Linked DNA regions of Anolis sagrei. The protein of the gene in region 1 interacts with the protein of each later gene in a biochemical or structural test. Links are inferred from orthologs where the notes say so. Each region holds a gene or a part of one and is shown in the gene's direction. Other genes may lie near its edges. The genes, in order: FGF9 and FGFR3.

Region 1 (15,076 bases):
AATTTGGGATGATAAATCAGTAGAGCTGTGGAGCACACACTTCCATTGGTAGCTCTGTCACCACACAACCTACCTGAGACAACATCTGTTGGAAAACCATAAATACTTTCAATACAATTCTCATTGACAGTGAGGGATTCACACACTACAAGATGTCTATAAATGTTGTAATTAAATTTATTTATTCAATCACCCTTCAGTCTTTGCAGATGCTAAGGCTAAATTCTCATTGAAAGGTGTATGTGAATCACATAGTTACACCTCCCTCCCCCATCCTGTAAGCAGTGCCCTCTGTGTTGTTGCAGAGTAGGGAATGAGTGGTGACATTTCCAGCTATTTTCCTATAGCCGAATGTGCCTTGATATGCATTGGCACAGACCTCCAGAGGTCCCTGCAGCATGTTCAAAAAATTATAGCTGAATGTGTCCCTCCTCCCCCATCCTTGACATTGCTACATTGTAGGAGATGTTCTGCTTACAAAATGTTTTGGGAAGGGATAGTGTCATGGGATGTCAGACCAACACTCCAACCTATACAACCTCTATAAAAATTAGTTATAAAGGTGAAAATCCAATTTACACCATTATATAATTTATATTGGTGTTACCAAGTCAATTACTTCAATAGGAACTGAAGTCAATGACATCTTGAGGGCCACAGGAGGCTAACCAGGGAGCATATAGCAAGGGTATTCAAGGAGGGCTAGGAAGAAGGTAGTGCTGCTAGTCAAAGTTAACAATACTGGAATAAACAGACAAATGGCCTGATTCAGGATAAGGTATTCTTTTGTGTTCTTATGACTACAACCTTTTGAATGATTGAAAAGCAGGTTGCATGTTTGACTAAAGGTGAATAAATTGATTCAAAGCTTTGCTGAAAATGATCCTCACAGCAAATAAAAATTGGGGAATGAAATTTCTGTACATAGGGGGTGGGAGCAGTGCAGACAAGATACAAGTTTCCTTGAGAAACTGGTAAGAATTACCTAATACGTCTTGCTTTTTGTTTAGGTAAATGCAACCATAGGAAATAACACAGAGGGTATTAGTCCAGCTCACTATTGCCTTAAGGCAGGAAAGTTGAGCTAAGCATCTTGACAGATGGCTTTCTAGCCACTTCTGGTCAGCAGGTTCTGCACTTAGTGGTTTAACCAACTGCACCACCACAGCTTCAATAGCTGAATACTTGAATAGCAAGTATAAATTCTGTAGATATCCCCAATTTTCTATCTCCCTATCTCCCTATTAATATTATCCTCTTTCTCATTTTATATTACACTTTTTTTCCTAATCCATTGATCCAAAAATTGTACTGTGGGTTCTTGGTATTTGCTGGGGTTTGGTTTCAAGACCCCTAGATGCCAAAATTGCATTCTTTTCAATCTATATAAATAAAAATGTAATGTTAGTTTGTGGGATTAACATAACTCAAAAAACCACTGGACGAATTGACACCAGATTTGGACACAAGACACCTATCAGACCAATGAGTGATCATCACTCATAAAACACTGAAAAACACAGTGGAAGAGACTTAAAAAGCAAAAAAAAAATCCCAAAATTACATTACAACGCATGCACAAAACCACATATTTATATATGCAAACACACATATACACATATACACAAATATATACATGCACATATACACACACAAAACACATATACACAGACTGGGCCACAGCAACACGTGGCAGGGTATGGCTAGTAGCTTAATAAAATAGTTGCCCTTAAATGAAATGGCAAAATCGAGGTTAGCTTTTTGGAATGTTTTTGCAGGTGAAGGATGATATTTTATAGCCATGGATGGCTTAATCCATGGATGCAGAATTCACAGGTTTCCACAACTGTATATAAATTGGTGGACTGAATCCTTATTTGTATTTCCAATAGAAACACAATAAGACTGAATTTCACAATGACTAATTTGAGTCCTATAAATGCCAGTGGGTTTCCCCAAAGAGTGTCTCTGTTTAGATCCAATAAAATTAATTTCAGAATGACAATCATAGGAGGTACAATTCAGAAGAAAAAAACCCCAATTTTTGTGTCCTGGTCATTTGCATATTTATTAAAATGTTCAGTGGGCTTTCTTCCAAGTAAACATGCTGTCATATGTTTTATATAAGCTGGTACATAATATTGTGCCTGTCACTTGTGCAAGCATCCTAATATAATACCTGTGAACATTGTTAAATGCAAATTCAAAAGCAAATGAAAAAAGACCCAAGCCATCAAATTTGCCTTCTCTGGTCTGTGTAGCCTTTCAATTTGATTTGCATGCTGTGGGAGAAATGAAATCGATAGGTCTATTATTTTTGTGTTTCTCCTTGACAGCTACATAGTAATCCACAGGACTGGCCCAAGACACTTACTATCTGAGGCAAAGGAAAAAAATGGTGTCCTCACCACTTCAGGTATAATGTCTGATTGGATTTATTTCGGTGGAAGCTGGTTGGCACCTAGATCTCACCCAACAGCTTGCTGCCTCTTCCTACCATCTGCTGCCTGAGACAAGTGTCTCACTCTGCCTAATGATAGGGTCACCCATGGATGTCTGATTCAAAATGCAGTTGCCATGGACTACTTTTAGCTGAACCAAGACCATCCTTTTAAATCATGCAGGATCCCCAAGAGTATTGAACTAAATCCCTCAATTATACAACGAGGTCACAAGGATATGGTCTCAAAAGGGTGAATTTGAAACAGTGTTTAGTCTCAGATCCTCTGGAATCCACATGCCTTCAGATCTGGAAATGTCAGAGGCCTTCAGACTGAGAAGAGATGACTCACTAGAAAGGGTAATAATGCTTGGTATGGTAGAAGGGCTCTTCATGACTTGGAAGTCTATCATTCATAGGGTCACCAAGAATAAGAGGCAGTTCACATCAACAACAAACTCTGGCCCCCAAATGTGAACAAGAAGAACCACTGGAATTTCTGCAATCATTTCCAAATGCAAGGCTTAACCCAGTGTTTCTCAACCTCGGGGTGGGACACCTGGGGGGTTCGTGAAAGAGTGTCAGAAAACACAGCATTTTCTGTTGGTCATGGGGGTTCTGTGTGGGAAGTTTGGCCCAATTCTGTAGTTGGCAGGGTTCAGAATACTCTGATTGTAAGTGAACTATAAATCCCAACAACTACAAATCCCAAATTTCAAGGTCTATTTCCCTCAAACTCCACCAGTGTTCACATTTGGGCATATTGAGTATTTGTGCCAAGTTTGGTCCAGATCCATCATTGTTTGAGTCCATAGTGCTCTCTGGATGTAGGTGAACTACAACTCCAAAACTCAAGGTCAATGCCCACCAAACCCTTTCAGTATTTTCTGTTGCTCATGGGAGTTCTGTGTGCCAAGTTTGGTTCAATTCCATCATTGGTGGATTTCAAAATGCTCTTTGATAGTAGGTGAACTGTAAATCCTAGCAACTACAATTCCCAAATGACAAAAATTAACCCCCAACACCACCAGTATTCAAATCTGGGCGTATCAGGTATTTGTGCCAAGTTTGGTTTAGTGAATGAAAATACATCCTACATATTAGATATTTACATTAGAATTCATAACAATAGCAAAATTACAGTTATGAAGTAGCAACAAAAATAATTTTCTGGTTGAGGGTCACCACAACATGAGGAACTGTATTAAGGGGTTGCGGCATTAGGAAGGTTGAGAACACTGGCTTAACCAGAGGATAGTCAAAAAGCTTCTCATGGAGGTTATAGTTTAGAGATCTAGTGCCATTGGCCTGAGAGCCCAGAACTTGGAAATATGTATTTATTGGACTGCAATCTCAAGAGCAGGCATGGACAACCTTGGAACCTCCAGGTGTTTTGGACTTCCACCATTCCTAACAGGCCCTTTCTTCAACTTAAGTGGCTGAGAGGGAAAAGGAAGAGGCTGTTAGGAATGATGGAAGTTAAACTCCAAAACATTTGGATGGAGGGCCCATGTTTGTCCAGGCCTGATCTAAAGGTTCCCAATCATGGAGGAAGAGTAGAGGATTCTGGTGGTAGATAGGTTCTCATGGAGAAAGGTAAAGTTCTCAGGCTCTGTCCATATTCATTCACTCTGGCAGTTGACCTGTACCAGGTATGCTTTTCAGATCTTGCTTGACCATTTATTTATTTATTTATCATGTCAGGAGTGAACCAAACAATTGTATTGCATTTTTAAAAAAACCACACACACAAAGTTTGCAAACTTGGCATTCTATTAAATGTCCTTTGACTAGTAGCTGGCCACGGAGTGCCTCTGATGTTGCTATAAGAGGTCCTCCATTGTGCATGTGGCAGGGCTCAGGTTGCATTGTAGTAGGTGGTCAGTGGTTTGCTCTTCTCCACACTCGCATGTTGTGGACTCCACTTTGTGGCCCCATTTCTTAAGGTTGGCTCTGCATCTCATGGTGCCAGAGCACAGTCTGTTCAGCGGCTTCCAAGTCGCCCAGTCTTTTATGTGCCCAGGAGGGAGTCTTTCATTTGGTATCAGCCATTGATTGAGGTTCTAGGTTTAGGCCTGTCACTTTGGACTCTCGCTTGCTGAGGTGTTCCAGAGAGTATCTCTGCAGAACTTAGAAAACTATTTCTTGATTTAGGGCGCTGGTGTGCTGGCTGATACTCGAACAGGGGTTGGGCCAGAGATAATAATGCACATAATGCACATATCCAATTAGGCCAGTGGTTCCCTTGGTACCTTTTTTTGACCAGGTACCACTTTGACCAGGGACCACTTTGACTCGGGACCACTCTGACCAGGGACCACTCTGACCAGGGACCACTTTGACCAGGGACCAGTCTGACCAGGGACCACTTTGGCCAGAGACCAGTCTGACCAGGGACCACTTTGGCCAGGGACCACTTTGACTCAGGACCACTTTGACCAGTGATCACTCTCCAACATTCGTACCAAAAGGGTTACGAATCAGTTTTTGGTAAACTTTAGATTCGGTGTGGTTATTTGGGGTGCTGATTCAGAAAATTGCATTGGATAGACAACATCAGCTCTACAGAACATATACCATCCAGTAGTTGCCATCTACTTGTCTACAGAAGACCATATTGAATAATCTGGCGCAGTAGACCTTATTTTAGGTCTTGTGGCCCACCAGTGGGTCTTGGGAACACTGAGTTAGGCAAAGTTCATTTTTTCCTTTCTTTGCCAATCTCTTCCTTTCCCAAATTTAGGGATGGCCGAATGGGGAAGATTACCATTAATTTCTGATGATATGCAGGAGAGAAAATGGCTCACTGGTTTCACATCTGGACATGTCACTTGGTGGGTCAGAACAATGTTGTTGGTTGTATGTTTTCAAGTAGTTTTCTAGCCTTGTGATGTGCCTTGGAGTCATTTCCAACTCATGGCGATCCAAAAGCGAATCTGTCACGGGGCTTTCTTGACATGGTTTATTTGGATCTCGTTTGCTTTGGTGTGCCCTGGGGCAGAAATGTTTGACATGCCCAGGGTCACCCGGTGTGGGTTTCTGTGGCTTGGCGGGGATCCGAACCCCGCTCTTCAGAGTCAGAGACAAACAAACAAAAAACCCTTTCCACTAAGCCTGTCGGGGTTGACATCTTGCGCCTTCCCTTCTTGCCTCTTCTTTCTCCATTTCGCTAAATCCCGGGAGCATTGTGTCGGAGAAGGTCCCCCTCTCATCCCGGTTTGACGCGTGGGTCGATCGCGTTGGGCGCGCCTCCCTGTGGAACACGTGCGCCGGACCTTTCTCGGGGCGTGAATCCTGCCCACCTGCGCTTTCCTCCCCATGAACCCGCCTGGGAGTGTATGTGGGCGCTGTTCAGGGTCTGGGGCGGCAGGGCAGGGACTCGGAAGTGGGGAGGGCTTGATCTCCGAGGAAGCCCGCCTCAGATCGGGCCCTCCGCCCCAACTCTCAGGTCCAGGGGAGCAGTAGGTCTAAATCGCCCCTTGGTTTAACCCTGCCTTGCACCGGGTCCCTTTGTGAGAGCTCCCTCTGTCAGCTCCAGCTTCCTATGAAGGGAAATGAGAGAAGCCTCCCACAAGGATGGTAAAACATCAAACATCCCGAAGTCCCTGGGCAACATCCTTGCAGACAGCCAATTCTCTCGCACCAGAGTCATAGAATTGGAAGAGACCTCATGGGCCACCCAGTCCAACCCCCCGCCAAGAAGCAGGAAAATTGCATTCAAAGCACCCCGGACAGATGGCCATCCAACCTCCAAAGAAGGAGCCTCCACCACACTCCGGGGCAGAGAGTTCCACTGCTGAACGGCTCTCACAGTCAGGAAGTTCTTTCTAATGTTCAGGTGGAATATCCTTTCTTGTAGTTTGAAGCCATTGCTCTGCGTCCTAGTCTCCAGGGCAGCAGAAAATAAGCTTGCTCCCTCCTTCCAATGACTTCCCCTCACATATTTATACAAGTCTCTTCTCGGTCTTCTCTTCTTCAGGCTAAACATGCCCAGCTCTTTAAGCCGCTCCTCATGGGGCTTGTTCTCCAGACCCTTGATCATTTTAGTTGCTCTCTTCTGGACACATTCCAGCTTATCAATATCTCTCTTCAATTGTGGTGCCCAGAATTGGACACTGTGTGATTCCAGTTGTGGTCTAACCAGGGCAGAATCGGGGGGTAGCATGACTTCCCTGGATCTAGACACTGATGCAGGCCAAAATCCCGTTGGCTTTTTTTTGCCACCGCATCACACTGTTGGCTCCTGTTTCACTTGTTGTCCACGAGGACCCCAATGCCTGCTCTCGAGCCAGGCATTGCCCCCCATTCTGCATCTTTGCAGTTCCACAAGTCGCTCCGTTTCCAAGTTCCTGGCGCTTCCCCCCTTCCTTTCTTCCTCTTTCCCCAAGCCGCGGCTGAGCCTGAGCCGGGAGTGCCGCAGAGCAGTAAAAAGAGCGAGCGGGCCACTCGATGTCACGGAGGAGGCGGAGGGAAGGAGAGAAGCAGGGAGGGAGGGAGGGAGCGGCGGCGGCTCTCTGGTGCTGCGCAGGTGAAGGTTGCGCGCTAGGACCTGGGGGAAGCCTCTGGGCCTCCCCTCCCTCCTTTTTTCTCTCCCCCCCCCTCTCCTTCTCCCGCCCGCAAGCTGGACTACCTTAAACCCAACCCAATGCCTCTTCCTGCGCCACTTTCCCCTGCGAGCTTGGATGGAAAAGACACAGCCGAGGGGGAGAAGAAAGAGAGCGAGGGAGAGCGGGCGAGAGAGCGAGAAGGCGCCGCACCAGCCGCGGCCCCAGCAGAGGCAGCCTTGCGGAGAGCTTGCCTACACCTGTTCCGCCGCACGGGCGCCCAGCGGGGAAGACCGGCAGCTCTCTGGAGGAGGAAGGAGGAGGAGGAGGAGGGCTGCCTTGCTTCGCGTGGAACAGGAGGAGGAGGAGGAGGAGGAGGAGGAGGATCCACGCCAGGCTGAAGCGCCGAGCCGCCTCCTCAGGATCCTGGATCATAGAGCCGGACGTCAAAAGTTCTTTCTTGATAAATAAGCAGTGAAGCAACCAAACGGCCCCTTTTCTGGATTTTTGGGTCCTTTGGGAGAGGGAGAGACCCCCCCCCCTCGCCTCCTCCTCCTCCTCCTCTTCCTCCTCTCCTTCTGGGCAGAGAGTCCAAACAGCGCATGCTTGGCTGGGGCTCGGACCCGTGAAGCCCCGAGGGCGGCCGGTTGGCCTCTGCGCCTCTTCCCAGGCTTCTTTCCCTCCCTTGCACCTCCTCCCGGCCCCTGATCCATGCGCCCCCCTTCTTCTCCACCTCCTCCTCGGCCTCAGGGCCCCGAAGTTGCGATGCGGAGCCCCACGGAGAAACTCGGGACCCCCCTGCTCCTCCTCATGACGGCCGGATGGGCGGAAGAGCTGACCGCTTGCTAGAAGGGAGCCCTGCCAGGGGAACACACGAGCCGGATCTCTCTCCGCTGGCTCTGGGCGCGAGGAGGATGAGCCCACGCGCGTCCCCCGCGGCGGAGGGCGCTTCCTAAGGGGTTGACCTTGAACCCCAGACCCAGCCAGGAAAGGAGAGCAGGAGGCCTCGGAGGACCCCGCCTTGATCCTCATTGATGGATTAAAGGAAGAAGTCACCTTTCGGCGTGGAAGTGGGAGGGGAGAGTGGCGGCGCAGCAACCTGCTTTGCCTCCTTTCCTCGCGTGAAAGGGAAACGGGAGAGAACCGCGAGTCCTGGCTCTTGGGCACAGACGTGACGGTTTTGCTGCAAGCGAGGGACCTCCCCCCTCCCTCCCTCCTTCCTTCCTTCCCTCTTCCTTCCTTCCTCCCTCCTTCCTCCTCCCCCTCCTCATGGCTCCCTTAGGAGAAGTTGGCAACTATTTCGGGGTCCCGGATGCGGCAGCGGCAGCGGCGGCGGGGGCGCCCTTCGGGAACATGCCGGTCCTGCCGGCGGACAGCCCGGTCCTGCTGAGCGACCACTTGGGCCAGGCCGAGGGGCTGCCTCGTGGGCCGGCCGTGACGGACCTGGACCACTTAAAGGGCATCCTGAGGCGCAGGCAGCTCTACTGCAGGACTGGCTTCCATTTAGAGATTTTCCCCAATGGGACCATCCAAGGCACCAGGCAAGACCACAGCCGATTTGGTAGGTATGGGCCAGGAGGGGGAGGGCGGGGGGAAAAGGGGGGCCAGGAGAGAAGTTGGTGGCTCTTCTGGTAGGGAGGCAAGGGCATGGAGGAGGAGGAGGAGGAGGGGGGGGGAGTCCATGTCCACGGTTATAGTTGTGGAAGAGCTTTGAAAGGGAGGGAAGGGAGCCTCCAGGAGTTGCAGATGGGATGCGCCAGGGACATCATTTTTTTGAAGCAAAGGGGAAAAATCCATAGCTGTAAGTGCACATGAAAAAAAAGGTTGAACACTGTGAAAACCACCCACTACATGGCTACCAGTCTCCTCCCAGTAGACCCTAATCAAGGAAAGGCTTTATGAGAACGACCACTCCTCTTGGCGTCCCCCCAGCGACAGCAAGGGTATCCTTCTGGGCAGCTCAACCAGGAAATCCCAACTGGATGCCCCCCCTCCCCCCCCGAATGGGCAACTTGGAAGTCCCTGAACAAGTGGAGTAGGCAGATCAAAGGACAACCTGGCAAAACCCAAAAGAATCCCCCACCTTGTGTCACTGTGGAGCAGAACAGACAACTCCGCATCTGTGTACTGGTCCACTATGCCCTGCCTCATGTACAGAGGCAGAATTGTTGGAGGCTGCAGACAATGCCGTTGCTGTTGCCCGTTTTTGGTCAAAGATATTTAGCCACCTGCACTCCTTCTATTTTTATCGGTTTTATACTAATTCTGATAATAAATAAATGCACAGCAGGCGGCCAGGCTTGGGTGTAGGGACCAGGCATGGGCAAACTTAGTCCCTTCCAGGTGCTTTGGTCTTATTTCAACTTACTTCAACTCCCACCATTCCTAACAGCCGGTTGAAGTCCAAAACATCTGGAGGGCCGAAGATTGCCCATGCTTGTTATGCACAATCAGTAGTAAACTATAACAATAATAATGCTATTGCAATAATAATAATAATAATAATAATTTTAGGATGGAACCCTCCGCTCTTATTATATATTTCCATTTTGAAGCTGCAGTTTTATGAGCACCTTTAGACTCCTAAAGAAATGCTCTTGACCTCCCTGGGGTTGGATGCATCTCCACTGTAGAGTGAGTGCAGATTGACACCGCCTCAAACTGGCAGGGCTCAGTGCTGTGGAATCATGTGAGTTGTAGTTTGGTGAGGCACCCCTTGGCAGACTTAAACGGCTGAGGGGGAAAAGGAAAGGGCCTGAGGCTGTTAGGAATGCTGGGAGTTGGAATCCAAAACACCCGGAAGGCCCAAATCTGCCCATGCCTGTTCTACGGTGTGGATGCCCTGTTAGTCAGGCATAGATAGATCTCTTGGCCTAATATGCTGGTCTCATCTAGGGCAGACCCACTGTTAGGTGTTGACTTCCTTCTTGGCGATGGGTTGAATCTGCAGAGGGCGATGATACTGGTCACCTCCAGTTCCCATTTGATTCCAGTGGGTCTGCTGCAGAGAAGAGTCAGGCTGGACCCAACTCGGTGAAACTTCCTCCTCAGCCGACGGGTTGCGTGGGGGACGGGACGGGGGGACGGGGGGGGGTCGGGACGGGGGACGTCCCTCTGCTTTTCCTTGGAGGGTGGGGCGGGCTGTGAAGAAGGCCGAGACAGAGAGATGCCCCTCCTCCCCTCCTCCCCGCTCCCCTCCACCTGCCCGAAAGGCAAAGCGGCGCGAGGAAAGACCCCGCCCCCACCGAGGGGGATCCCCTGCACCCCCGCCACTTGCCAAGAGCGCGCCGATATGCGCCTGCCTGCCTGAGATCCGGCCGAGATCTCCCCCCCCCCCCACGCGCTCTGCGGACTCCTAAGCCACGCCGTCGCTTGGTGGTCGCTGGCCTGAATACGCGGGCAGCCCGGGCAAGAGCCGCGCAGGTGGCCGCCCCCTCCCCGCCCCTTTCCCCGAAGCTCCGAAGAATCCTTTCTGTGACTCAGCACTGAAGAGTTCGCCTGAGACGGTGGCTTGAGCGTCCTACTCTGGAGAGACGCTCGGCCGTGGAGACCTCCCTCCCTTGAGTGACCTTAACAGGTCACACTTGGTCAGCCTCAGAGGAAGGCACAGTGAAGCAACCCTCCTCTCAACCCCTTGTCAAGAGAACCCCTTGTGTGCCTTCAAACGACTTGAAGAATGCAGCAGAAGGCTAGGAGTGTGGAGTCACTTGGGGCTCTATGCAGTTAGACTAGGTATGGGCCAATTTGGGCCCTCCCTCCAGGGGTTTTGGACTTGGACTCCCACCATTCCTATTCCCGCTCGGCCGTGGAGACCTCCCTCCCTTGAGTGACCTTAACAGGGCCAGGTTTGGTCAACCTAAGAGGAAGGCACAGTGAGGCACCCCTCCTCTGAATCCCTTGTCGAGAGAACCCCATGTGTGCCTTCAAACGACTTGAAAGCATGCAAGGACACAGCAGAAAGCCAGGAGTGGAGTCACTTGGGGCTCTATGCAGTTAGACTAGGCATGGGCCAACTTGGGCCCTCCCTCCAGGGGTTTTGGACTTGGACTCCCACCATTCCTATTCCTGCTGGCCGTGGAGATTTCCTTTCCTTGAGTGACCTTAACAGGCCAGGCCAGGTAGGCATGGGCCAACTTGGGCCTTCCCTCCAGGGGTTTTGGACTTCCACTCCTAACAGCTTCAGGCTCTTTCCTTTTCTGCTTAAGTGGTTGAGAATGGAAAGGAAGGGCTCTGAGGCTCTGAACCAATCTTCTCAAGAGAACCTCTTGTGTGCCTTCAAATGACTTGAAGGCACACAAGAACACAGTAGAAGGCCAGGAGTGGAGTCACTTGGGGCTCTATGCAGTTAGACTAGTCATGGGCCAACTTGGGCCCTCCCTCCAGGGGTTTTGGACTTGGACTCCCACCATTCCTATTCCTGCTGGCCGTGGAGATTTCCTTTCCTTGAGTGACCTTAACAGGCCAGGCTTGGTCAACCTAAGAGGAAGGCACAGTGAGGCAGTTAGACTAGTCATGTTAGTGCAGTTAGACTAGTAATGGGCCAACTTAGGCCCTCCCTCTAGGGGTTTTGGACTCCCACCATTCCTAACAACTTCAGGCTCTTTCCTTTTCCACTTAAGTGATTGAGGAGGCTCTGAGGCTCTGAACCAATCTTGTCAAGAGAACCTCCTGTGTGCCTTCAAACGACTTGAAGGCACGCAAGAACACAGCAGAAGACCAGGCGTGGAGTCACTTGGAGCTCTATCCAATTAGACCAGGCATGGGCTGACTTAGGCCCTCCCTCCAGGTCTTTTGGACTTCAACTCCCACCATTCCTAACAACCTCAGACCCCTTCCTCCCCCCGCCCCCTCAGCCGCTGGAGAGTTATTATCTGGCGGGGAACAGGAGTCTCCATTCTTTAACCCAGGCCTGGGTAAACTTGGGCCCTCCAAATGGTTTGGACGTCAACTCCTACCATTCCTAACAGCAGTGGAACTTTCTGCCCCGGGGTGTGGTGGAGGCTCCTTCTTTGGAAGCTTTTAAACAGAGGCTGGATGGCCATCTGTCGGGGGTGCTTTGAATGCAATTTTCCTGCTTCTTGGCAGGGGGTTGGGCTGGATGGCCCATGAGGTCTCTTTCAACTCCATGATTCTATGAATGAGATCTACAACTGGGTTGTGGTGTGTTTTCCGGGCTGTATGGCCATGTTCCAGAAGCATTCTCTTCTGACGTTTCTCCTCCATCTATGGCAGGCATCCTCAGAGGTTGTGAGATCCACAACCCTTTCTTTTATGGTTTTATTAGAGCTTTTACGATCATACCGCTGCCTGGAAAGAAGAGATGCGCCCTAAAGCGGGTGGCTGTGGGGAGATACAAGTTGGCCCATGCCTGATCCAAGAGTGGGCCAAATGGGACCTCCCCTGAGAGATGGAAGCTTGAGGTGGGTGGGAAAGACCTGCCCAGGGAGGGAGATAGATAGACCCCAAACAGAGTCCAGGGAAGCGGGAGAAGGAAGAGACCTTGCGCTGGGCTGGGTTTTGCGGCGTGGAGGCAGGAGGACGCGGCTGCGGTCTTGGCGGCCGATTGGCTGGGCCGAGATCCAAAGCCGGGGAGCTTCTGGTGCGTGAAGAGGCGAGATTTGCACACGCTGCGGTTCAGCCCCGCGGCAGCCGGCGGGCTCACGCCGCTAGCAGGTGTACGGCGGCCGAGCTGGTGCTCCCCGCTCCCTCGCACAGTGGCCTTGGCAGCGGCACCGGCAGGAGGCCGCCGCCGGGTCCTAGGCCCCGCCCTGCTCTTCGACAGCTGCCGCTTCCCGCCGCCCTTCCAGGGGAGGAAGACGCTCCTCACAGATCTGATGCAGAGGGAAGGCATCGAAAGATATCCAGCTCCCTGAGTCGCTCCTCATAGAACTTGGCTTCCAGATCCTTGATCATTTTGATCATGTTCCAGCTTGTCAATGTCCTCCATCAGTTGTGCCCAGCACTGTTTATTTATTTACGACATTTATATGCCGCCCTTCTCACCCCGATATTAAAATGTTGCTCTCACTAGACATAGTATCCCAGGTGAGGCCTGATAAAAGTGGACTAGAGTGGTGCCAGGACTTCCCCCCACCTCTGTTGGTGCAGGCTAGAATCACATTGGCTTTTTAAGCTGCCACATCAAACTGTTGATGTTTGTCATCTACTAAAACCTCCAAATCCTTTTCAGAGGTACTCTTTTCACGCAGGTGTCACCCATCCTAGGAATATTTCTTTATTTATGAAAGAAAAAGTAGCCTTAAGAAAGATATTAAACTCCATATTGGACTCCATATTGGATCAAGGGCAGGTTATTATTATTATGTTTGGAACACAATTGGGATATTGTCCTAAAATAGTTCTTGGATTTTTAGAAAGTTCTTTAACGGAAAACACATCTACTACTTCACCAGGGTGGGCAAGTAATAGTTATTGTAAGAGACCAAATGTACAGGTAAGCAGACAGAGCAAAGGATAGAGTTTGAGTAAGGTGTAGCTTATCCAGCAGATGGTAAAAATTATGCCTGCTGCTGCACCCTCTGTGAAATGGGGGTCTGTTCACCCATTTCTAGTTAATAGGTGACAGAAAGAGAGGACATGAGAGGACATGATGTGACTTGATGCATTGCCTCTCCCTGCTATTCATCTTTCCTTGTGAAGCCTAGTAAGGGGAGGTTTGGGAGGAGCTGATAGGAGTTGGAGTCTAACAACAACCACAACTTCTCCATGTACATGCTGTGATGTTATGAATGCATCCTTTACTCCTTGTGAGACTAGAGCAGGCATGGGCAAACTTGGGCCCTCCCTTCAGGTATTTTGGACTTCAACTCCCACAATCCCTAACAGCCTCAAGCCTCTTCCTTTCCCCCTCAGCTGCTTAAGAAAAGGGCCTGGGGCTGTTAGGGATTGTGGGAAGTGAAGTCCAAAACACCTGGAGTCCAAAACTACCAGCTGTCAGGAATGCTAGGAGTTGAAGTTCAAAACACTTGGAGGGCCCAAGTTGGCCTAGGCCTATGTTAAACAATAGTTGTTCCCCTGCCCTCAGTAAATTCCTTCTTTTTGCAGGGACTTGGGAACCTGAGAGCCTTGTAAGGTGACCCCATGTTCCTCCAGCGGCCACCCTCTCTCTTCTATCTCTCTCTTCCTCGGGTAACTCAAGCTCTCCCCCTCCCCCTCGGTTGCTCCTTTTGTCTTTCCACCAGGCTCCGGGGGGTCTAGACATGTGTCTTAAGGCACAGAGGAGTCATTGTAAATTCAGAACTCTGGCCTTAGGTGGAGGGAAAGGCGTGCCTCTTGCTTCAGTTCAAGCTCTCTCTCTGCAGAAGGTTCTTTCCCCATCCTTGGATTTCTGAACCCCATCCCAAGGCATCTAGAGCAGGCGTGGGCCAACTTGGGCCCTCCCTCCAGGTGTTTTGGACTTCAGACCCCACCATTCCTAACAGTCTCAGGCCCCTTCCAATCCCTTTTCCATTTCCCTTTCCTGTTTAAGTGGCTGAGGGGAAAAAAGAAAGGGCCTGAGGCTGTTAGGAATGGTGGGAGTTGGAGTCCCAAAAAGCTGTGGGGCCCAAGGTTGCCCACGCCAGCTCGAGATGCCTTGGGATGAAGTTTAGGAATCCAAGGATGGGGAAATAACCTTCTGCAGAGAGAGTGCTTCAACTGAGGCAAGAGGAATGTTGGGAGTTGGAATCCAAAACACCTGGAGGGCCCAAGGTCGCCCAGGCCTGCTTTAGATGCCTTGGGATGCAGTTTAGGAATCCAAGGATGGGGAAAAAACTTCCTGCAGAGGGAGAGAGAGAGAGAGAGAGAGCTTCGACTGAGGCAAGAGGAATGTTGGGAGTTGGAGTCCAAAACACCTGGAGGGCCCAAGGTTGCCCAGGCCTGCTCTAGATGCCTTGGGATGGGGTTTAGAAATCTGAGGATGGGGAAAGAACCTTCTGTAGAGAGAGCACTTCAACTGACGCAAGAGGAATGTTGGGAGTTGGAGTCCAAAACACCTGGAGGGCCCAAGGTTGCCCAGGCCTGCTTTAGATGCCTTGGGATGTGGTTTAGGAATCCAAGGATGGGGAAAGAACCTTCTGTAGAGAGAGAGCTT
Region 2 (15,247 bases), about 110 Mb from region 1:
CACAACCACAAGAATCGTTCCTGAGAAACACTGCACAATGAATGAAGTGCCAGAGGATAGGAGATGAGCAAATATTGTCCCTGTCTTCAAAAAAAAAAAGGCAGAAAAGATGACCCAGCAGTCTTGAAGCCAGTTGCCTGATCTCAATACTAGGAAAAATATTAGGTTTTGCAGGAGTCTCATTTTAAACATCTTAGTGATAGTGAGGAGATTAGTTGGTATATTTGCCTTCTATCTTTCTTTTAAAAATCAAAACACTAATTTATTAGGTGTGGAAACACTGGGAAATCCTTTGTCTGGATTTCAGCGAAGTGTTTGATAAGATACCTCATGATATTCTGAATGGCAAACTGACTAAATAGGGAACAGATGGAAATGCTCTCAGATAGAGGCATAATGGTTGGAAAATGTGTTCAAAGAGTAGCCATTGGTAGCTATGCTTCTTGCTGATTTAGAAGTATAGTAGAAATAAGGCAGATGTAAACACACAGTGTAGCTTGAAGTAGCGTGCCTAGCTAGTAGTCCACTGATGTTTCCCTCTGCTGCTTTGAGATCTGGGGAAAATAGAAAAAAGTCCTCATTACAGGGAAGATAACTGTGATGAACCAAGAAAAGAACGGAGCATAGGCAACAGGGCTGGCACAGGAGAGGTGTGAGGCAGCAACCATGGTCAAGTGCCAAATAATACACATTGCCCACAAAGTGTTCACACATTCTTTGAGGAATTTAGATCATTTTCCCAGTCCTGTTCAGACTGGATCCTCCTCTTCTTCCTCCTCCTCCATTTATTTAGGCTGAACTTACAAAGCTCAATGGAACTTGTAAGTTAATTCATAGTGGAACTGTATCAGACAAGCATAGCAAGCTTACTGTTCTGCTTTAATGGTGAAATTATTAATTTTTCTCCTAGCTTTAAATCATGTGAGGTGCTTGTATGGCCCTCCAAGTGTTGACTAGTGCTCCTAGCACAGCCCACAGTAAGAAATCTGGTAGTTGAAGTCCAAGAACATCTGGAGGATCATCAGTCCTCAGCCCTGCCTTATAGACTACTAGTTTGAGTACTTGGCGTTGCCCAGGTTATTTGAGAAAGTCATTTTTTTATTTTACAAAATGCATACTGTTGTGGGTGAACTACAACTCACATCATGCCAGGTTAACCCCCTGATGCTCAATCAGTGATTAAAGTTTGCTCTAGATCAGTGGTTCTCAACCTATGGGTCCCAGGTGTTTTGGCCTGCAACTCCCAGAAATCCCAGCCAGTTTACCAGCTGTTAGGATTTCTGGGAGTTGAAGGCCAAAACATCTGGGGACCCACAGGTTGAGAACCACTGCTATAGATGAATCATTGGTGGAGTCCAGTGTGCTCTCTGGTTCCAGGGTAAAGTACAACTCGCATCATGGTCAGTCCCCTCAAACTCTTCCAGTAGATTCAGTTGGTCTTAGGGATTCTGTGTGCTAAGTTTGGTTCCAGTCTATTGTCGGTGGTGGTCAGTGTGTCTGGATGTAGGTGAACTACAACTCCCAGAAATGAAGATCAGTTCCCCTCAAACCCCTCCAGTATATTCAGCATGCCATGGGGATTTTGTGTTCCAAGTTTGATTCAGGTCCATCGGTAAGGGTCATCGTTTCTCTGGTTGTAGGAGAACTACAACTCTCAAAACTCAAGGTCAATCCCTACCAAACCCCTGCAGTAATCAAATTTGGGTGTATCAGGTATGCATGCCAAGTTTGTTACAGATCCATCGGCTTTTGGGTTCACAATGCTCTTTGGATGTAGGTGAACTACAACTCTCCCAAATAAAGGTGAATTTTCCACAAAGACCTCCAGTATTTTTTTATGGCAATGAGGGTTCTGTCTGCTAAGTTTGGTCTAATTCCCATTTTGGTGGGGTTAAGAGTGCTCTTTGATTGCAGGTGAACTATAAATCCCAGTACCTACAACTCTCCCCCAAAATCATCAATATTCCAATTTGGGCATATCAGGTATATGTGCTAAGTTTGGTCCAGATTCATCATTGTTGGGGTTCATAGTACGCTCTGGATGTAGGTGAACTACAACGTCTATAAATCCTTCCAAAGACCTCCAGTATGTTTCATTGGTCATGAGGGTTCTGTGTGCCAAGAACCCTCATGACCATCACTGGTGGGGTTCAGAGTGCTCTTTGATTGCAGGTGAACTATAAATCCCAGTACCTACAACTCCTATAAATCAAGGTGAATTCTTCCCAAAGCTCTCCAGTATTTTTTGTTGGTCATGGGGGTTCTGTGTGCCAAATGTGGTCCAGGTCCATTGTCAGTGGGGGTCACAGTGCTCTGTCTTGATGCAGGGTGAACTACAAAACCCACCATGTTGAGTTAGTCCCCCAACCCCCTCCACAGTATGTTCAGTTGCTAATTGATTCCTCTCTGTTTGCTGTGTGCCATAGGAAAAGGTAGGATAGAGTTAAGGCAGTGGGCAGGGTCATGTAAATAACACACCAATTGAGGGAGTCAGAAACACATCAACTCTAGGATGAAATTGTCCCCATATGAAAGCCTTCATTTGGGTGATGGGCAGTATAGTGTTCTATTATGTGTATATAGAATATATGTATATAAAAGATGTCAATAGAGCAGTAGGCAGGGAGGCAAATGTGTCACAATGGCTGGTGCCATTACATTGGGATTGGGAATTCCTGCTCTTGGGCTGTAACGCTCAGCATTCTGCAGCAATTGCTATGCTCACCAGGGCTGAAGGAAAGCACTTTCACACCCCATCTACACTGCCATATACTGCAGTTTCAAACTGGTCGAAGGAGATTCATATATTGCAGTTCAATGCAGCTACAATGAGTCTACACTGACCATGTAATGCAATTTCAAATTGCAGTATATGGCAATGCAGTTGGGGCCTCGGTTAATGTAAATAATCAAAGCCTAGCCATCTTTGAAATGCCACATGTAGACAGCTAGGTATAGATTTGGAACTTCAGCAATGCAACGACTTAAACTTGGATGCAAAGGATGGGAGCCAGCCTTCTTGAAAGCAGAGCTAAGATTGCACACCTCAGCTCAGGGACAGGGTCCTCCTCCAGGTTAGGCCCAGAACACAAGAAGTCTCCAGGTGTGAACCCCAGAAGGTCCTATGCAGCCAGAAACATGGAATCTTCAGAGTTAAAAGAGACCACAAAGCAATCCTGAAAAATGACCTGTCAATCTCCATTTAAAGACTTCCAAAGATGGAGAATCCACCACTTTCAGGAGCATCATTCAGTCATTCTGCCTTCTTGTTCTCCTCCATAAGTGATTTTTCTGCCTTGATAGCCTTCTTAAGTAGCATAGCAAAGTAATTTGTTATTTTCTAAATGAGCTTCCATCCGTTCAGATGACAGCTGAGCTACTATTCATGCTTAACCAGGCATGTCAACAAGTAGCTCGTAATACCTGCATGTCAGTATCCACCAAACTTAATTTATTCAATAATGAACAACCAACTTGATGTAATATCTTGTTTAACCCAGAGGGGAGAATTATGCAGCCCTCCAGATGGTGCTGAATTGGGAATTCCAGAAGTCTTTTATCAGCAGAGGCAGCAGGATGAGGAATGACGGGGAAACTACACGTTTCACACCCTTTTTTGAACCATTAGTAACAGGAACCTCATTTGGTGATTAGGAAGCAGTAATCAGTCTTTCTGACTAAAGTTACGAGTATAGTCATTTGAGAAAAGAAGAAACGAGACATGCTTCTTATCTGCACTTCTGATTACTGCAAAAACATGGAATGAGAAGACTATGCTGGGAAAATATGTAATTGATCAGTTCAACTCGCAACAAGTTAATCACCATTGTTTCAATTCACAACTCTCTATATATAAAAGTTAAAGCATGTTCGCATGACTCTTTGAACCAGAAAAGGTGATTGCTAGGTGAAGTGGCCCTCTGTGATGTCACGGGGTGACAAGGGGATGGGAGGGAGGAAGGAAAGAAAAAAGCCACAAAGAGAGCCTGCCCACCCTTGCTAGAGTGTTGGTAAGCCTTCTCAGAGCTGGAGAAGGGGGAAAGTCAGTGGGCAGACAAGTATACTCAGCTAAAGAATGGAAAATGGAATGTCATAGAATCATAGAGTTGGAAGAGACCACATGGGTCACCTAGTCCAACCCCCTGCTATGCAGGAAAAGCATAATCAAAGTATCCCTGACAGATGACCATTCAGCTTCTGTTTAAAAGCTTCCACTGCACTTTGAGTCAGAGAATTCCACTGCTGAACAGCCTGTACAGTCAGAAAGTTCTTCCTAATGTTCAGGTGGAATCTCCTCTCCTGTATTTGAACCCATTGCTCCGAGTCCTAGTTTCAAGGGCAGCAGAAGACAAGTCTGCTCCCTCTTCCTTATGACACCATTTCACATATTTATATGTAGTGGACAGCAAGAGATTTAAATCAAACCTTTAAAAATGTGGAATAAATATTGTAACTGGAGGTCAGCTGCTACCAACAATGCTGTGGATTTTGAGGTATGAATGGAGGGTGAAAGGGAGAAAGTGTCAAGAGGAAAGCGCCTCAAGCTAACCCTTGTCAGGACCGCCTTCCATCTGGAAATCTATGTCCTCATTGCGAAAGACTATATGGATCCACAATAGATCTCTACAGTCACATATGGACCCAGGGCCAAGACAATCACAGGCCCCTTCCACACAGCTGTATAAAATCCACATTGAACTAGATTATATGGCAGCGTGGACTCAGACAATCCAGTTCAAAGCAGATATTGTGGATTTTAGAAAGAGCTAAAAACTTGGTCCTTTCTGTAGGCCTTTGATAATGTTTTCAACAAGATGATATGGTTTTTATATATGTTTTATATTGTTATGTTGATTGTTTTTAATCGCACTTTTATGAATGCATGCCATTGAATCGTGCCAATCTGTAACCTGCCTTGAGTCGCCATATGCTTGAGAAACGTGGGCTATAAATGTCGTAAATAAATAATAAAGAAATCTTTAAGATAGCAGCCAGACAACTATCTTTAGCCAGGGAAGGCTAGATTGACTGTATGGATTTTTAATTAACAACTATTGCCATATTTTATCGATTCTATTGCTCTTGTTAATTTTATATGTCTGCTTTTAAATGTGTTTTGGTTTTAATGTTGATATATTGCATTTTATATGTTGTATGGGAGATGGTGGTAGGCTATAATAAAATATTATTAGTATTATTACTATTATTATCTGCCTTGATATTCAGGGTTATATGGCTGTGTGGAAGGGCCCATACTTGGCCTCAAGTTATTGCCTATGATGATGACATATGTTAGTAGTTCATATAAAACTTGGTATGGTATCAACATCCCCTTTCAATATGTGCAGTGTGACTACGGAATGGCCTTGGACTCTGACTCTAGATGACGTGATTCATTGAAATGGATTTTATTTTATTTTTTATTTTAAACCATGTTTGTAGTTGGATACTAGCCATCCCCTGCCACACGTTGCTGTGGCCCAGTCTGTGTATATATATGTGCGTGTATATATATGTGTGTGTGTATGTGTGTTTGTGTATATATGTGGTTTTGAGCATGCGTTTTAATGTTTTTTGTTTTGTTTTGGGGCTTTTTAAGTCTCTTTCGCTGTGTTTTTCAGTGTTTTTATGAGTGATGGTCACTCATTGGCCTAATAGGTATATTGTGTCCAAATTTGGTTTCAATTCATCCAGTGGTTTTTGAACCACTGTTAATCCCACAAAAAACTGTTAATCCCGCAAAAAACATTACATTTTTATTTATATAGATTGTATGTTGTGAGCCACCTTAAGTCCCCCTCAAGGTAGAAAGGTGAGATATAAATAAGGTAAATAAAAAAGGAGTTCCTGGTGGCACAGTGGGTTAAACCGCTGAGCTGCTGAACTTACTAGCCTTAATGTTGCAGGTTCGAATCTGGGGAGTGAGCTCCTGCTGTTAGGCCCAGCTTCTGCCAACCTAGAAGTTTGAAAACATGCAAATGTGAATAGATCAATAGGTACCGCTCCGGTGGGAAGGTATGGGCACTCCATTCAGTCATGCTGACCACATGACCTTAGAGGAGTCTACGGACAATGCCAGCTCTTCGGCTTAGAAATGGAGATGAGCAGCAACCCTCAGAGTTGGGCACCACTGGACTTTATGTCAAGGGAAAACCTTTACTACCTTTAACTAAGTCAGGGGTCCTCAAACTTTTTAAACAGAGGGCCAGGTCACAGTGCCTCAAACGGTTGGAGGGCAGGATTATAATTTTTTAAAAAACATGAATGAATTCCTATGCACACTGCACATATTATTTGTAGTGCAAAAACACTTAAAAACAATACAATAATTAAAATGAAGAACAATTTTAACAAACATAAACTTATTAGTATTTCAATGGGAAGTGTGGGCCTGCTTTTGCCTGATGAGATAGGATTGTTGTTGTTGTTGTGTGCTTTCAAGTCGTTTCGGACTTACGTTGCCCCCGAGTGTGGGCCTGGTAAATGACCTTGGAGGGCTGTATCTGGCCCCCGGGCCTTAGTTTGAGGAACCTTGAACTAAGTAAATAAATAAATATATACATACATTTCAGTCAATGGAAGTCTCAAGTGACTGCTCTTCCTGGGACACAGCAGAGTCCAGTCCGTCCTGCAGCTGTGGGGCTATGAAGAGGAATGCTTACCTGGAACAGAGTCATTGCTCTTACCTGGAGAACATATCGACATTCCCTGCACCGGCTCCTGGTGCGCATTCCCAGGTAGTCTCCCCGGGGAAGGGAGAGGGGTGAGCGCGCGCTGTGCCCCTGCCTCGCGCGCGGGAGGGAAGGAGGGAAAGGCGACTCCCCATTGGCTGCGGGGAGTCCTCGGCTCCGCCCCTTTCCTCCGCGCGAGGCGGTCCGCGCAGGGCTGGGCGCAGAAGGGCTCCAGCTGCGGTGGCAGAAGGCAGCAGCCTCGCTCTCGCGCCCGCTCTCTCCCTCTCCCCAGGTAGGCACCGCGGGATGGACGGGGGAATTCAGGCAGACTGGGAGGGGTAAAAAGGCGGGGGAAACAACTCACCTGAATGTTCTCTGACGAGGAGCCCTCAGAGTCCTTCCTCTGACAAGTCTCCTCAACCTCCTGGCGCTCGCGGACGGTGTCCCACCCGTGTTGAGGGGGGACCTGGTGCCTTAAGGCTGGGTAGGCGTGGGTTTCAATTGACACTCGTTCGTTTTGCAGGCGGACAGCTTGGCGTCCCTCTCGACCGCTTTTTCTGACTCAGCGCCTCCGCTCTTTGCGGCTTCGCTGGGGCTGAATCCACACGGCTTGCAGATTCCAGGGCCGTGTGGATCCAGTTCAGTCTGCATTCTGAAACAGCGTTATAGAGCTATGCGGATCCAACCTGAGGCCCCCTCTACACTGCCATCTGATTATTATTATTATTATTATTATTATTATATTTGAGTTGTTGTGAGTTTACCAGGCTGTCTGGCCATGTCCCAGAAGCATTCTCTCCTGATGTTTCGCCTACATCTATGGCAGGCATCCCTAGAGGTTGTGAGTTGTGAGTTTTCCAGACTGTATGGCTATGTTCCAGAAGCATTCTCTCCTGACATTTCTCCTGCATCTATGGCAGGCATCTTCAGAGGTTGTAAGTTGTTGTGAATCTTCCAGACTGTCTGGCCATGTTCCAGAAGCATTCTCTCCTGACAATTCGCCTGCATCTATGGCAGGCATCTTCAGAGGTTGTGAGTTTTCCAGACTGTATGGCTATGTTCCAGAAGCATTCTCTCCTGACATTTCTCCTGCATCTATGGCAGGCAACCCCAGCGGTTGTGAGTTGTTGTGAGTTTTCCAGACTGTGTGGCTATGTTCTGGAAGCATTCTCTCCTGACATTTCGCCTGCATCTATGGCAGGCATCCTCAGAGGTTGTGAGTTGTTGTGAGTTTTCCAGACTGTATGGCTATGTTCCGGAAGCATTCTCTCCTGACATTTCGCCTGCATCTATGGCAGGCATCTTCAGAGGTTGTAAGTTGTTGTGAGTTTTCCAGATTGTCTGGCCATGTTCCAGAAGCATTCTCTCCTGATGTTTCGCCTACATCTATGGCAGGCATCCCCAGAGGTTGTGAGTTGTGAGTTTTCCAGACTCTATGGCTATGTTCCAGAAGCATTCTCCCTGACATTTTGCCTGCAACTATGGCAGGCATCCCCAGAGGTTGGCAGGCATCCCCACAGGCCTTGGCCATTGTAAGCCGCATCGAGTCCTTCTGGAGATTTTGCAGGGTATAAATAAAGTTAATAATAATAATAATAATTGTGAGTTGTGAGTTTTCCAGATTATATGGCTATGGTCTGGAAGCATTCTCCCCTGACATTTAGCCTGCATCTAAGGCAAGGCATCCCTAGAAGTTGTGAGATCTCACAACCTCTGAGAATGTTTGCCCTAGATGCAGGCAAAACATCAGGAGAGAATGCTTCTGGAACATGGCCATACAGCCTGGAAAACTCACAACAACCCAGTGATTCTGACCATGAAAGCCTTTGAAATATATTATTATATTTATTTATTTATACCCTGCTTTATCTCCCCAAAGGGGATTCAAAGCGGCTTGACATGAAAAGCATTGGCATAAAAATGTATACAATCCAGATTATCTGATTTGAACTGGATTGTATGGCGGTGTCAACCCGGGGGTGAATGTAAATAAAAGAGAGGGAATGTATAGTACATGTCTATATAACTGTATTTTTTTCTCAAATAAAAGTTTATTAATAAAATAAAATAAGTAATCCAGTTCAGAACAGATAATCTGGATTTCATAAGGCAGTATAGGGATACCTGGCCCATCGCTGGAGGTCAAAGTAAGAGTCAATCCCATAGAAGAAATGTCAGAAACTGCATAGTTTTCACATGTGGCAATGAGAGCGGAGAATGTCCCCTTCAAACATCCCTCATCTTAAACCTTATCAAGGGGAGACCTGTGGCACGTGGAAGCTTCCAGACCTTAGGTTAAAAACCAAAACTACTTAGTGTATTGCGTTGTCGAAGGCTTTCATGGCAGGAATCACTGGGTTGCTGTGAGTTTTTCAGGCTGTGTAGCCGTGTTTCAGACCGCTTCTGGAACATGGCCATATAGCCTGGAAAACTCACAGCAACCCAGTTAATGTGTTGTCGAAACTTTCACAGCTGGAATCACTGGGGTGTTGTGTGGTTTCCGGGCTGTCCGGCCGTATTCTAACAGCATTTTCTCCTGGTGTTTCGCCTGCATCTGTGGCTGGCATCTTCAGCGGGTCTGAAGTGGAGTATATATACCTGTGGAATGTCCAGCGCAGGAGAAGAAAACCATTCTCTGTTAACCAATGTCAAGGGTGCAGTTAGCAAGCTTGATTTGCAACCGACTGGAAGCACTCAGATGTCTGCCTGTTGTGTCTTCTTGCAGGGTGTAGCCAGACCTTGTGGGGCCCAAAAGGAGGCCCTCCAATCCAGCCGAAGGGGCAGCATGCATCTGGAGGATGGCTGAGGCTGGCCACCACAGCAGCACCACAATCACTGCCCAGGGTGGCTCCTCTGGGCAAGGAATGCCTGCAGTGTGGGGAGCACTGCTTTGCTTTTTCCTGGTGGCAACCGTCAGCAGCCTCCCCTCAGCCCGACCATCCGCTTCGGACCCTGAAAACAGGTTTACCAGAGAGCCATCAGGTAAGAAAGTTTGTGGAACAGAAGAGCTATTTCCACCCTCCGCTATGAGCCATGTGCTGTTTCTTGCTGGGATCTCTAGCTATCCTTTTACCTTCCTGTCCCTTTGCCATCAACAGCCCTTGCATTCAGTCTGTCAAATGTACTGTGTTACAGACAAGGTAGCACGAAGGAACTGCTCCTGTTTGGCTGGCTAGTCTAGTAGTTATCTGCTCCTCCTGAGCATGCCCCAGTTTCAAGTTGGGAGAAACATAGATTACTTTTGCAACTGATGGAATCATGCTGGAGTTTGGAAACATTTCCTGTTCCTGATTTGAAAGTGTTTTTTCCTATTTAATTGTACAATACTTACTTTGAAAGTCATTGTTATAGTTCAGAAACTTTGTTTTTGTGTCTGCCAGAAACTGTGTTGAATTGGTTGAGACTGTGAAAATGCAGAGTGTACTGCAGGATGTTCCACAAAACAAAGCTTTTGCAGTTGAATAAACTTTTCCCATGTTTTTATGATAGAATCAATTTGGACATGGCATTTATTACCCAAGAAGAAAAATTGTGTTACATAATATCAATGTAACAGTTTAGTGATAGAAGGTCAGTCTTTTGTACAGTAAAGGTTCCCCTCGACATTAAGTCTAGTCAAGTCCGAGTCGGGGCAGGAGGTGTGCTCATCTCCATTTCTAAGCTGAAGAGCTGGGGTTATCCACAGATGCCTCCTAGGTCATGTGGCCAGCATGAATGCATGGAGTGCCCTTACCTTCCCAGTGTAGCGGTACCTAAGGCCGTTGAATCCATGACAGAGAATCTGTGAACATAGAAGGCCAACTAAATATATGTTTTACTTTCTGGTTGGTGCTCTTTAGTTTTTATGCCATTTGGGTCCCCAGATATTATTGAATGACAATGCATTTTGGATTATCTGCCATGCGGACTGGGAATAATAGGGATTGCAGCCCAACAGCACTTGTGGCTCTGAGGTTGGGGAAAAGTCAAAGGACATTTTAAAGTCAGGCATCATATACAAAAGCCTTGTAACTAAATTCAAACCCCACTCTCCTGACTAAATAGACCAAACTGGAGTCTTCTAATGCTGCTATATCACAATTATCCTCAGCTTTAGTCATGATGTCTAATGCTGAGGAATACAGAAGTTATAGTCCAGCATCTGAATTGCCATATAAAATGACATGACAAGATATTTTGGCTCATGGGCCTTGAGTTTGACACATGCGCTTTAAAGCCTTTGCAATTCACTTTCAAATGGCAGCAGTCATCCCCATGCATGCACACATACACATTTTGAACAATTTCACCAATATTACTGTGCACACTTTCTCTTTTGCTTCTGTGGAAATAAAATGCTAGTGTCCCCTTCTGCCTTGCTGTAGGGGTGGGAGTTGGGGAGATGTGGTGGCTCTAGCTGTACACCTCTTCTTGTATGAAGTAGCTGAAGTTTGTAGCTTCTCTGAGAAAAGGTAGTCCTTATTCTGTTGGTGCTTTGTGTTTTGAAGTAATTGTTGTTGTAAAAGAATAATGAACTATTTTTCTGGTATTCACTGTATGTGCACACACTCATCACTTGTCCTTTTCTAAGGTTCGGGTAAATTCCTCTGCCCTTCACAGTGGTCTGAAAAGTAGCCTCTTGTCAGTTTGCAAACGAATTAATCCAGCAGAAATATTTCAGTACCAGGCTGGCCATTGGTCAAACTCAAGGCTCTTCCAGGCAAGCCTTATATCCCAGGATATGATACCAGGTTTTCTGCTTTAAACTGGGTTATATGAGTCCGCACTGCCAGATAATCTGGGATAAACAGAAAACCTGGGATCCAATCCTGGAAAATAGGGCCTGCCTGGAAGGGCCCTCAGCCCCACCCCCTATAACAGTTACTTTTAAACATCTAAGTAGCTCAGGCCCGTAGCCAGGATTTTGATTCGGGGGGGGGGGGGGGGCTGAGTCTGAGTGAGGGAGGATCTACCCTAGCAAACTTTAAGTGATTTCTGTTTTTGAAACAGTGAATGTTCAAACCATGCAAAAATAAGCGTTTTCTTCTTTTAAATTGTTAAATTCTTCATTAAACAACACCTACCATAAATGCAACGCAACTTATCACGGCCCTTGCTAGCACGCAAACTATAGGCTGCTGGTCCTCAGAAATCTTTCAGGAAAGAAAGAAACAGGTGCAGCCAATGGACACAAATGTACTACCAGGTGTACTACCAGATTCTGACTCCACTCTTTAATACCCTGAGAAGCACTTCCTTAATGTGAGACCATTTTCTGATATCATGTGTGACGCATTTGGATTTTGTAGTGTGATACCTTTCAGTATTATATTGAAGCTTATAAAGGAAGCAATGGAGAGGCAAAATTGTGCTGTTGTGCTTGGAAAAACTGAACATTGAAATAAGCCAGATTGTAGATATTTGTGCTTAATGTTTTACATGCGCAACTGTCTTTGTGCACTGTATTGCCAACTATTGTAGCAAGCTGCTTAAACTAGGAAAGTGTTTATTACAATCTCCAAAAGTTTCCTTTCAGTGCACAATAACAGTTAGAAGCAACAATCTTTAACACAAAGGCTATTTGGGGAAAAAATATCAGTCGACAAAATTTAGTGTATTTCGACAAGCACTGTAAGCATATCTCACTAGGGAAAAACCCAGTTTGACATAGTGAGGCGTTACTGTTTGGTAAATGGAGCTTCACAGGACAGTGATGCCCTTTTATTGGGAAAACAATAAAAAGTGTAGAAAGTAGAATCCAGTTTCTCCCCCACCCCTTTCTTTCATCCTCAAATTAGCATATCTGGGGGGAAAGCTGACATATTTTTTGTTATAAAAATAAAACAGCTAGGGTAAATATATTCCGTAGCAACTCAGAATAGGGGCAGTGTTTCTACATCATATCTGGTTAGAGCCCTAATTTTGCTTTCTGGAGGTTTTGGTAAAATGCTAGGTTCCTTTTGGTATATTTTCTTAGCCATGCTTGAAGCATTATGATGATGTGCCAGCAGATTTTAAAGAATTTTCTTTCTTAGTCCTAGTGAATTAATTTTGATTGGAATTACTTAGATTTAGGTAAAGGTAAAGGTTTTCCCTGACATTAAGTCTAGTCATGTCTGACTCTGGGGGGTGGTCCCATCTCCATTTCAAAGCCAAAGAGCTGACGTTGTCTGTAGAAACCTTCAAGGTCATGTGGCCAACATGTCTGTATGGAGCACCGTTACCTTGCTGCTGGAGCAGTACTCACATTTGCATGTTTTCAGACTACTAGGTTGGCAGGAGCTGGGGCTAACAGCAGGAGCTCACTCCGCTCCCTGGATTCGAACCGCCAACTTTTTGGTCAGCAAGTTCAGCAGCTCAGTGCTTTAACCTGTTGCACCATGGAGGTCTCCTAGATTTAGATTAGCACTGATTCAAAGGTTTTTGTTTTTTTAAAAAAAATTGCAAACATAACCTATAGCATTAAAATCTTTCTTGTCGTTGGGACAGAAATCCCATATTTATTTTGGAAATAAATCTCATTGCTAGAATAGAATTTAGACATAAGCATTTCTAAAGCAGGGGTTTCCCCTGCCTCAGTTCCCATATTGCTGCCACCATTGGAAGTACAATAAAACTCATACTGACCTCTATTAATGAATGGTCTAATTTTTTTCAAACTTTTGACAGAATCTATCTTAGTAGCATTAGAGTCTTAAAAAATGTGTTTGATGGAAGCAGTTTTAGCTTTTTTTCTATTTCTAGAGAGGTGTAACTGGCCACCTTTGTGAACTCAGTTCCATATCATGCAGTGAACTGGCTTCTTAACAAATGATTGTGCTTTTTAAGATATGCTCATAAATGTAAATACAACAAACATGTCACATCATGAGACAGGATTAAGTGTGGCAAGTATATATGAGGCAATGAGCCTGGATTTTCTGCTGTATAAAACAGTCTCCCATATGAACAATTTTACATTCTGTATTCATTTATGATTCTGTTCAATCATGTATTTCATTCTCAATAAATGTGGCAAAGACTTGGGAACGCAAGAGTTCTGTTCACTTAGCTGAACCTGGTGTAATCGTAGTTACTAGGTAAATGTAAAGGCTTTCCCCTGACATTAAGTCTTCGTCTCTGACTCTGGAGGTTGGTGCTCATCTCCATTTCTAAGCTGAAGAGCCGGCGTTGTCTGTAGACATCTCCAAGGTCATGTGGCCAGCATGACTGCTGGAGTCCCGTTACCTTTCCATTACCTTCCCGCTGACAGCAGGAGCTCACACCGCTCCCTGGATTTGAACCCGCAACCTTTTGGTCAACAAATTTAGTAGCTCATCGGTTTAACCCACTGTGCCACTGGGTGTCCAATATGCAGAGTATTATCTAGTGTAAAGTGCAACACATGAATGAAATCTGTCTGTAAAAGAAAATCTTATTGCTTACCCACTCAGGCAAGCTTTACCCCATTGGTAGGTATTGGTGTCATTGTGTGTCAGTGAAGATAGCTTGTGATGTTTGCCTCATCATTCCTTATTTTTTCAATGAATCAAATGTATTAATAGTATCTTTGAGAAAAATCTGCGTTGATATGTATAAAAAAACAAATTCAGTGCTAAATGCGTCCTTTTAAATATCTGAACGACATGTTACAATTAAATGCTTTCTGCTGGTCAAATGGACCATGGGGTATTGGTTTATTGGTTTATTACTGAGGCTTGTTGTTCAACAGCTTTCGCATTTAACCGTCCAAGACCTTATTTCCTATAAAGGGACTTGGAAGCATTTTTCTCTAGTGATCTAATTCTTCACACAGGACTCCGAAGGTTGTAACAGCTACTGCCTTGTGTTTCTGCTCAGCTCCATAAAATACACATTGAAGAGAGGAATTCTGGAATTATGTGTATGTTTGCTCATATGAAGACTAGCGAATAGTGGCGGCAGTGCAAATTCTAATATATCTACAGGGAGGTGTTCTCTGTTCGCTGGAAGAAGGCAGATGGTGGGGTTGCCGCTGAATAGAATCCAAACTGAAAATACGGAGGGCCTCATCTGGACTGAATTTCTTTCTTTTTTCTCAGGACTCCTGTAAGAACAATGTCATTTTTTATGAATGAAAGTGGGGAGGCAAGACAGAATTGACTGTGTTTGTCATTCACTGGCAATGACAGAGATGATTAGGGAGGTCAGTGAACTCCTTTACAGCCTTGAACATGTGGTCACTCTATTCAGCAGCCACAGAATAGATGCTGGGATGAAAAAGCTCTTGCAATTTGCATTTGTATTCAGATAAAGATATTACTTTGTACGATTGGTGAATGTCAAGTAGCACCAACTGTGTTGTGACACAGCAGACAGACAGAAATAGCACTGGCACAGTTTAAGAAGAGCGTAAGATGTCATGTCCCTGTCACCCACTACCTATTTTTAATGTCCTTCTATAGAAAGATCCCATATTAAGTATTTGGAACCTGATGAGGTGCTTGAAATAGTTAGTTTGGGATAAAAGCATTTGTAATGTGTGAGCCCACTAAGATGTAGTAATTTGAGTGCTGGATTAGGATTCTGAGACTAGGTCTCAAATTCCTCCTCAGTCAAGGAAATCCACTGGGTAAATT

What was found.
Region 2: the proteins of FGF9 (region 1) and FGFR3 form a complex in vitro, tested with the Homo sapiens proteins (3 studies listed by BioGRID and IntAct, with this or other methods). The link is inferred for Anolis sagrei from reciprocal best matches to the Homo sapiens genes FGF9 and FGFR3.

What each region holds. Positions count from the first base shown.
Region 1 is NC_090023.1:28,763,986-28,779,061, forward strand, and holds the start of FGF9 (fibroblast growth factor 9), read left to right. Parts: upstream 1-7,008; 5' UTR 7,009-8,253; coding exon 8,254-8,545; intron 8,546-15,076.
Region 2 is NC_090023.1:142,746,372-142,761,618, reverse strand, and holds the start of FGFR3 (fibroblast growth factor receptor 3), read left to right. Parts: upstream 1-6,891; 5' UTR 6,892-6,963; intron 6,964-9,396; 5' UTR 9,397-9,469; coding exon 9,470-9,653; intron 9,654-15,247.